2 linked regions of the Caenorhabditis elegans genome follow. The protein of the gene in region 1 interacts with the protein of each later gene in a pairwise test. Each region holds a gene or a part of one and is shown in the gene's direction. Other genes may lie near its edges. The genes, in order: cpb-3 and daz-1.

Region 1 (5,462 bases):
GTTAAACATTTTTGTGAAGATGGCGCTATAAAACTCGATAAGTGTCGATACCTGGTCCTAGATGAAGCAGATCGAATGATTGATTCAATGGGATTCGGACCAGAAATTGAGCAAATTATCAACTATAAGAATATGCCCAAAAATGATAAACGACAAACAATGATGTTCAGTGCCACATTTCCCAGCAGCGTCCAAGAAGCTGCTCGTAAATTGTTGCGTGAAGACTACACAATGATTACAATCGATAAAATTGGAGCCGCCAACAAATGTGTCATTCAAGAGTTCGAGTTGTGCGATAGAACATCAAAAGTGGATAAGCTTTTGAAGCTTCTCGGTATCGATATTGACACCTACACCACCGAGAAAAGTTTGTTTTACTTTCACTTTTCAATATCGTCATATATGTTTTTAGATTCTGATGTCTTTGTGAAGAAAACGATTGTATTCGTTGCTCAACAAAAAATGGCAGACACTCTGGCCAGTATCATGTCGGCAGCCCAAGTTCCAGCGATTACAGTTCGTTTGTATATTAGTAGTGTATTTCCATTCTTCTTTTTTATAGATTCACGGTGCTCGCGAGCAAAAAGAACGGTCGGCTGCTTTGAAATTGTTCCGAAGTGGAGCTAAGCCAGTGCTCATCGCCACGGCTGTTGTTGAGCGTGGTCTTGACATTAAAGGTGTAGATCATGTTATTAACTACGACATGCCAAATAACATTGATGATTATATCCATCGAATTGGCCGGTTGGTTATTTCCTGAAATGTTTTATTTTTTGTAATTACCGTTTTTCAGAACTGGACGAGTCGGAAACTCGGGAAGAGCAACTAGCTTCATATCATTGGCAGACGATGTTCAAATTCTGCCGCAGTTGGTGCGAACTCTAGCTGACGCCGAACAAGTTGTGCCAAGCTGGATGAAGGAAGCTGCAGGAGGGACCTCCAATCCTAATAAATTCGAAAAATCTATTGATACCGAGGAACCGGAGGAAGCTTGGTGAAGCAATGTATTCTAAATTTAATTTCTGCAAAATATCAATCTTGACGTATTATTTTTCTGATAATGTTCAGCCCCCTTTTATTCCCCAAAATATCTGATCGTCTTGGCATTTCAACTTTAAATTTCCCGAATTTTTAAAATATATTTTTTGTTGTTAGGTTTATATGTTCATTTTTGTTTTCAATAGTTGGAATGTTTATAAATTCAGATCAGTATTCAATCAATGTCTCGTAAATCTGATAAATTTTTGTTTTAATTAAAGCTTTCAAAATCTTTTCAGATGGACTCACTATCAGTTTTTTTTAACTTCTCAGTTGTCTTGGCACGATGCCCACTCGATAATAACTGGTCATCTGTTTATTCGTGACTCATAAATTTGATAATAGTGAACGCTGAGAACGTGTTTTTTAATGAATTTTAATATTTAAATTCAATCAATTCAAATAATTAAATCTCATTCATCTTATAATATTAAAATCTTATGTATATAAAAATTAAATTAAGTCAATTTGAATTTTACGAAAGAATTACTGTAGCACATGTTCTGTGTAACATCGCGTCGTTCATCATGTTTTGTGTGCATACACTAAGCAAATTCAAATTTCAAAATGCTTTAATTTCGAAAATCCCAAAATTTTAAAATCAGTTTTTAGAAATGTTTTGTCAGTTTTTTATTCTGTCCGTGTTGTTTTAGGGAAAATTCTTTCTTCCAATTTGAGTTTGAAAATGTTTTCGTTAAAAACAAGTTTGAAGAACCTGTAGTTAATAACTTTCGCCTGAGCATAATTACTTTCGCTCTTGAACTCAAGGGAACATTTCTAATTTTCAGACTTGCTGCCGTTGATAAAAGCATTCACCATGAACCTGAATGACCGAGTGGAAGGCATCGGTAATGAAAGATCTATCGTTGCGAAATCAACCGAGAGAAAGAACAAAATTCCGCCCTCGTTAAAGCTCAGTCCTGTTGAGTCAGTTGGCGAGGTTTGTAAATTTGTTTTTCGAAATAGTTTAAAAGTTTTCATTTTTAGAAATCTCCAACTCCTGCAACAGTTTATGATTTGTTCAAGAAGTACCACAAATCGGACAGTGTAAAGCCGACCGAAGAAGACAACATGAATGTAGGATTTGACAAGCTTTCTACAGACGAGAAGAATGGATTTCTTCGAAAGCTTCAAATGCTCACTGTTGGAAGCAAAAAATCATCGAAAGTAGATGAATCCACTCCGTCGCCTGCTAATCGCCTACTCAAAAAGATTGTACCATCTCGCCGGACATCAACAGAGCATCCGAATTCGTCGAATCGAATGCATATTTTTGGATCTTCAAGAACTACAAAGAAGTCTATCGACTCGGAAAGAAATTCACAGCGTAAGAAATCTGCTCGGCGACTAAATTTCGAGAGAGACGCAGAGCAAAAGAAGGATTCAACAAAAACAAATAATAGTTCATTCGTTGCTGAAATGACTAGAGAATATGAGAAGATAGTTATCTCGAAGGGTGCTCCCGTTCCAATCAATAAGGCAAATCGGAATCTCTACCGTAATCCTCGTGGTTCCCTTGAGACTCCTACAGATTCTCCGCAAAAAGGCTTCAGCAGTTCAACCGAATCGTCTCCTTCTGACAGTATGAATCAGTTTCCATCTCGAGAGCACTTCACATCTGCAAATGAGGAATCTCCGATGAAAAGAAAAAACTTCCAACAAGAACATGGAAATAAAAACCGTGATAGCGACGCAACTTGGTTTGGAGAGCTTCCGCCCAGAGATTATACAAGTCCAACATTCTCACGGAAGATATTTGTTGGAGGAGTTCCATGGGATATCACTGAGGCAGCTTTAAAAGATTCATTTGGAGAATTTGGTTCGTGTGCAGTTGAATGGCCTGGACAAGAAGCACGTTATCGCAGTGGACAATCAAATTTGGCTCCGTCAAATGGGAGTTTGAGAGCTCAAACGAAGGTACGAACTTTTTGAACGGTTAAAAATAACACTGAAATTTTCAGTATACTGGACAAGCTGCTACTGGGTACGTCTACATGATATTTGAAGATGAACGCGCTGTTGCTTCTCTACTTCACGAATGTTCTCAAGAGATTGGAGGAGCCGGAGAATGGTACTTTAAGATTCGAGCTCAAAGATCGAAATCGACCGAGATACGGCAGGTAGGTCAACCACAATATGTGATGTTTCTTTTTTGCGTATATTCTACTATGATTTCAATTTTCAATCATTTCAGGTACAAATCATTCCATGGGTTACCTCGGACTCTATGTTTTGTGAGGATGATACACTTCTCGAAACAGGAATAGAGCCAAAACGAACTGTCTTTGTTGGAGCTTTACATGGGATGATGACAGCTCAAGTACTTCATTCAATAATGGAGGACTGTTTTGGAGCCGTTGAATGTGTGCAACTTGATACGGATAAGTTCAAATATCCGATTGGAAGTGGACGTGTCACATTTCGTGAACATGGCGCGTATTTCAAAGCCATCGAGATGGGATATCTGCACGTCTATACCAGCAAATTCCGTAAACGTGTCCAGATAGATCCATTCCTCGAAAGTACATGCTGTATGGTATGTAATTCGCAGTCAGCACACTGTTTCTGTCGGAATAAGAATTGCTTCAAGTACTACTGTCACAACTGTTGGGCATTGGATCACGGAAAAGATGATGATCAAGAAGTCCATATTCCAGTGATTGTACCATCGTCGGCTTCGAAAGCGTTTCCAGGAGCAACTACTCGTCGTTCGCAAGTTTCAAGCAGCTTGTCGTTGAAAAATGGATCTAACAATTCTCAAGTCAATAATTCGATTCCTCATTTTCCTTCGGCAGGTACAGATAACTAATTTTTATTTTTCGAAAATTTGGAAAATATCTATTTCTTAAACTCAGTTTTTATAATTTTCAGGTTTCCCTATCATCGTCGGCGCACCTGCACAAACATTGTCAGCTCTCTATGGATATATTCAAAATGGTCAACAACTGTTGAAACCAGCCGTTTTTGAGCCACCAATGACACCATCACCAAGTGAGATCAACAAGAATAGAAGAAGCTTCACAGAGTTTTCGACTCCGCCAACAGTCTTCTTCAATTCAACTCCTGTCATATCTCCACAAAAGAGTGAGTGGAATATTTCAATACTTTATAAGCGGAGCATATTATTTTACTCAATTGTTACATTTTCTCAAATTTCAGGTGTGTCCGACGGTTCTCCATTGCCAGCATACTACAACTCGGCTGCATTCCTAACTCCACCACCAACATACTACGGTTCTCCAAACCACCCGACATCTAGCAACATTTCGCAACCTCAGCAACCATACTATGGCGCTAACCTTTATTATGGCTTTATTCCCCCTCAGCAACATCCTTCTGCAATGATGCGCTCTCCCAATTACGGCCAGTAAGCGCTTGCCTGTTTCCATCAAAAATTGCCATGTTCTCATTACTATTCGAATATTTTATATAAGTTCCGTCGCTCGTAGTTCTGTAGAAATAATCAACGTAGTTTATGTTTGCTGAAAACTATGAATGAGAAAACTCCCTGTGAATCATATTGCATCTGTAACATCTTTTTTTGTTTTCCCCTGTAGCGTTTAGTTTGGGCCTTCTTAATTGTTTGTTTTTTTAATCAATTTTGTTATTTTGTTGTGTTTCTAATCATCCATCTCCCAACTCTTATCCGAATCTGATGCCATTTTTCCTTGTCATTCGCAATCAATTCGTATGCCATTTTCTTGGTCCCATCTGTAGATTTAAACTCTCCGCATTGCGTTTTACCTCCCTCTCGTTTAATGTATACAAGAAGAATCGAAGGTAACGTTTTATCTTTTTTATCACTTATAAAATTATTCATCTTAAGTACTCTTTCACATCCTCCCCAATTGCATATTTTCTCGCAGATTGCGCATTAATTTTTTTTTCGAATAAAATTTTTTCGATAGTACGACTTGTTGTCTAGTTGAATTCAAACCTGAAACTTTATTAGATATGATGATAATCTATTCCGATTTAGATCAAAACTTGTATTATTATACAAAAAAGGTTGAAAACCGTTAAATGAACCCGTTGAACGTGTTTTAAAACGAGAATATTGAGAAAAGTGACTGAAGAGGTAGGAAACAATTGAGATTTGGAAATTGAGAGAAATTTGGTGTGTTGTGGTAAAATAATGAATATTTTTAAGATTAAAAAGGCCTCCAAATAGTCGGAGAAGAACTATTCGATGAAGTTATTGATACATTTCTTCGTCTTTTTGATTCTACAGATTCCGGAGTTTCTTGAATTAAATTAATTGAAGTTTCTGATGATTTTGTGATTGAACGAGGAGAAGATGGTCGTTTTAACTTCCGATCATCAGAAGTTGGAGTTATAAAAATTGATGGAGATGATAGGCATGTAGACGTATTAAGGGATACTGCAATTAATAAATTATATATATATATTTATTTCCGAAAAAA
Region 2 (4,649 bases), on another chromosome or scaffold:
AGGGAATGTAGGGCAGATTTGGCTAGTTGATTACTTAAAACTTCTTGGAAAATTCCTGAATAATGAACATATGGATTGAGACTTTTCAGTTGGTAATATGAAAAATGTCTCAAACTTTAGAAAGAAATATAAATAAGAATGTTTACTTTGTCCCAATTAGATTAAAGAACTTGACCTGCCATTTGTGGTTTTGCGAATTCAATTATCACAAGTTGACCATTAGGAAAAACTCAAGTAAAACCGGTTACTGTAATTGTAATTTGACAGATGGAGATTCTGTAAACATTCTGTTTCATATGACTAACTTTTGACGGGAAAATCCCAAGAAACATTGAATATATTTATTCAAAGCTGCCATTCAGTGAACAGCGTTGGAACTGGTCGCGACAATTTGGAAAGATATGGAGACAATCCAGATGAGGACACTCAAATATTGAGAGTAAATGGAATGGGTGCAGCCGAGTTCCTATCATGTGTGCTCCCACCAATGGAGAAATCTGGAGGTGGACAGATTGTTGTGCTCTCGTCTTCACAAGGAGTACGGCCAATACCCATGCTTGCGGCTTATTGTGCAACAAAGGCTTTGATGACGTTCTTGTGCGAATCGATTGATCGCGAGTACAGTACAATCAATGTTCAAACTTTGATCCCTGCATTGGTCGCCACAAAAATGACCTACTACACGGTAAGCAGTTATTTGCGAAGTTCTTAGAAAATTAATTTACAATCTTATTTCCAGAAAGGATCTACATTCGTTGTGACACCAGAAAACTTCTGCCACCAGGCGGTTGGCTCAATTGGATTGACGAAGAAGACTGCTGGATGTTTGAACCATGAGCTTCAAATGCTCGGATTCCACCTGTTCCCATGGACTATTCTCAAGTACCTTATCATGCCAATCTACTATCATCAGAGAAAACGTGTGACAGAATTGCACAATACGAGCAATAACCCAGAACAGGAAATTTCACTTCAAGAATTGAATGAGGAAACGGTGGTGCCTACAACAAAGAAAACTGTCACTCGTGACTCGGCCACTGCCTAATACTGAAAAGAATAGTTGTTTTTAATTTTCATTTTCCCTCTGAAATTGTGCTTTACATACAAATTTTAATTTCTAATAACATGTTCTTGTATCTATTTTTGTGAAATTTTATTTCGTTTCTTGTTTTTTTTTCTGGTTTTTGTCAACTCCCCCTGCAGTGAAATTTATCGAAACAATAAATATTTTCATGAGATTAAATTGTCTTTCTGAAACACAATAATTAAAAGCTTTTTGAAAAAAGACAGTTAGAAAATATTGAAATTGTATTTTGAATTGGCGCGTGCAGTACGGTAGCTGATGTTGACCTGCACATCTAACTTCGCTTTGATTTAATTTTAATTATTAACCTTTTCTTTCCACCTTTATTTTCAAGAAATAAGTGTTCTAAAAATTGCTTTGAACAAATAATTTAGTTTTAATGGTTAGAATTTCGAAAATCTTAAATTGTTGTTCATTTAAATGTATTTTTTAAAAATTATCCCAATTTGAGCATTTTTTAATAAATATTCATTTTTTTAGGTTCTTGGAATCAAAGCGAACGGGTTATGATGTCGCCGCCTCTACGGTATCAAAAAGACCAACAAAATCAGCAACATCAGCAAAATCAATCACAGCAAGCTGCTCATCAGATGGTCTCTTTCATGCCACAAACACCGACTTCTCTTCCATCAACTCCGATACAACTTTATCCAACCGGAGCAGCCGCACTAATACCAGCACCACCTACATACGAGCTGATTCCAAACCGTATTTTCGTTGGTGGCTTCCCAACTTCGGTTCGTGAATTTCTTGATATGTTCTCTGTTCTTCCTAACTCTCGGGTTGTTTCAGACCACAGAAACTGAGTTGCGTGAACATTTCGAGAAATTCTTCGCTGTGAAGGACGTCAAAATGGTTAAATCACTTGATGGTCAGTCAAAGGGATACGGATTTATCACCTTCGAAACCGAAGATCAAGCAGAGGAAATTCGTAAACTGACTCCAAAGCAGTTGGAATTCCGTAGCAGGAAGCTCAACCTAGGTCCAGCGATCCGAAAAATAAACTCCAATAGTTTTCAACCAAGTAAGATTTTTTTCTTTAATTCTATAGTGACTAAAATAAAAAATTTACAGGCTACGCAATCGCCACTCCAAGTCAGCTCGTTGCGGCATCTCCAGGACCATTCAGCTACGCCATTCCGGCATCTCCAAGTCCATATAGCGGATACTCCTATCCTGCTTCGCCTCAGATGTTCGTCTATCCTCCGTTACGCAGTCAGGATCAAAGCAGGCAGCAATCTGAGCAACAAACTACTCCGCAGAATAGTCCTACTAATCTGCAACATCAACAATCGCCACAAGTCTTCTTCGGTGGAGATCAAGATCCAATAAGATCTTATGCGAGTGCAGTTGCAGGTTTTTTGTAAACAATTTTTTAAATCTTTTAAATATAATTTTTATAGGAGTTGAAAAGTCCGAAGTTTCCCCTGAAAAGCATGAATCAGTTTCTCCACAACCACTTCTTCCAAATCAAAATGTGTTGAACACTCAGTATTCCCAAGGTCAGCAGCAGTGGAATTCCAATGTGCAGCAGCAGCAGCAACAACAAATGGACTCGAACAACGGAGGTCCTTACTATAATGAAAATTATTCTCAAGGCTACACCCGTCCTCATCCATATCAACAGTTTGCTCAATCTGGGGTACGTAATTTCCAGATTTTACAAAGTAGTAGAGTTCAATAATTTATCTTTTTTTTAACCAGTTCGAATATATAATTTCAGGTGTACATGAACAGCCAAGGAATGTACCATTCGAGTTATTCCTACATGACTCCTCCACTGGCACCAGGTCAATATCCACAAATGATGTCCGCTCCCTATTGGCAACAGCAACAACAGCACCATCAAAGTCATGCATACGCTGGCTATAATCCCGCCTACAACAACTGGGTTGGACCATCTGGAGATATGAATCAGTTCAAACAAAATCCGTCAAACTACTTCTATCAAAATTATCCGGGAAATTTTTCACAACAACACACGATGGGAAACAATGAAAATACATTCTCCCTTCCCCTCCAAGCTCCACGCCAAGGCAAGAAGAGCCGGAAACCATCGGAATGTCAGGATAAGAAGACAAAAAGCCCAATCAAAGGTTAGATTTTCGAAACAGTGTTTTTATTCAAGTTTTAAAAGAAAGTAATCATTTTTTTAAATATTATTCTTATTCTTACAGGAGCTCGCACTGAGAGACCATCGTCATCAGCTTCGACTCCAGACGCGAAATATCAGAAGAACCACAGATATCCAGTTCATCTTTCTCCACTTTCAGCATCCCTCCAATCACTAGCCATTTCCTCGCCCACTAAGAATAATTAAATACGAATTCTACATTTTTGTCATTAGTATTTTCTGTCCTTTAGGTAGTTTTCTATTCCATTGCTCTGGTGCCTACCAAATAAGAATTAAAACACGTATTTTGTATCCTATACGCAACTGTATATTTGATTCAAATACTAGAATTAGCTAGTTTCTTTCTCTTTTTCCTATCCAAATTATCTTCCTTACGAATATTGTTCCATTCTATAATGTGCTTCTGAAGCCATCGATCTTTTCATATCTTCTAGTAAGATTGAATTTAGATCCCACGTTCCCCATTCCCATAGTATTCAAATGTTTTTGTATGCCCCCAATTTAGAATAAAATGAAATCACAATAATGACACCAGTAGCCCCTCTCTCGCATTACATGGTAATTTTGAATCACCCAAATTGTCCACTTTAACACCTAAAAAATCCGAAGTAGAATTTTGTGTGTGATTTTAATAAATCTTTTCGCAGAGAAGATTGTGACTTAAGTGTTTTTCTTATTTTTTTCTGCCGTGGATTATGTTCATAATCCACAAATTGTTCAGGCAAGGTCGAGGACATCGAGTGAAGCACAAAAATTGGTGGATGGTTCACGGAACACTCACATCGGAACTCATTGATTTCATGGAATTCTCAATTCCTTCGTCTTTTTACCGGAAGCAATCCCCTTTTCTTATCCATCCGATATCATCAATTTCCCTTTTCACACGCTAACAACCTTTTCTTTTCTCGGTGTCTCATTGTTCCATGATGTCTCTCAAACGATCTTCTTTTCATAACACTTTGCCTCATGTTGATTGTGATTTCAAAGAGAGAATCAAGGCGATCCGACCGGCGATCGGTTCTCGTTTTGAGACATTTTTCGACTTTTTTCATTGTTTGTTCTAAAATTATAAGAGTTTAAGGGGTGAATATTAAAAATCGCAAAAACAATTTTAACTTCTGTAGCTTTAGAAATGCAAATCATCCGGACACGAAATTTGGTGATTATTCCGACAAAAATACGGTATCCGGTCTCGACACGATAAATTTTTCGTTGAATACAATCGGGTATGCGCCTTTAAAGAGTACTGTAATTTCGAACTTTGGTTGTAGCAGAATTATCATTGATTTTCAGTTTTTTTTCGAGTAAAAAATATTTATTTATTAAAAGCCAAAAAAAAAATAAATATTTTTCAACAAATCGCGAAAAAAAACCAAAAATTTCTGAAAATTCTGCATCAACGGAAGTTATAAATTACAGTATTCTTTAAAG

What was found.
Region 2: the proteins of cpb-3 (region 1) and daz-1 interact in a two-hybrid assay, tested with the Caenorhabditis elegans proteins (one study listed by BioGRID).

The regions. Positions count from the first base shown.
Region 1 is NC_003279.8:5,788,117-5,793,578, reverse strand, and holds cpb-3 (Cytoplasmic polyadenylation element-binding protein 3), read left to right. Parts: upstream 1-1,826; 5' UTR 1,827-1,855; coding exon 1,856-1,978; intron 1,979-2,025; coding exon 2,026-2,955; intron 2,956-2,999; coding exon 3,000-3,158; intron 3,159-3,232; coding exon 3,233-3,833; intron 3,834-3,909; coding exon 3,910-4,122; intron 4,123-4,197; coding exon 4,198-4,409; 3' UTR 4,410-4,945; downstream 4,946-5,462. Other genes in the region: ATP-dependent RNA helicase glh-3, read left to right, coding at 1-367, 413-516, 563-744, 794-998; Runt-related transcription factor rnt-1, read right to left, coding at 5,190-5,419. UniProt on the Caenorhabditis elegans protein: Cytoplasmic polyadenylation element binding protein that binds to and regulates the translation of specific mRNAs. May not be required for oogenesis.
Region 2 is NC_003280.10:5,454,741-5,459,389, forward strand, and holds daz-1 (DAZ protein 1), read left to right. Parts: upstream 1-1,564; 5' UTR 1,565-1,593; coding exon 1,594-1,821; intron 1,822-1,876; coding exon 1,877-2,108; intron 2,109-2,158; coding exon 2,159-2,440; intron 2,441-2,487; coding exon 2,488-2,726; intron 2,727-2,807; coding exon 2,808-3,180; intron 3,181-3,261; coding exon 3,262-3,404; 3' UTR 3,405-3,869; downstream 3,870-4,649. Other genes in the region: putative oxidoreductase dhs-5, read left to right, coding at 363-685, 740-1,045. UniProt on the Caenorhabditis elegans protein: RNA-binding protein that plays a central role in oogenesis, but not for spermatogenesis. Required for meiotic entry and germline differentiation, at the pachytene stage of meiosis I of female germline regardless of the sex of the soma.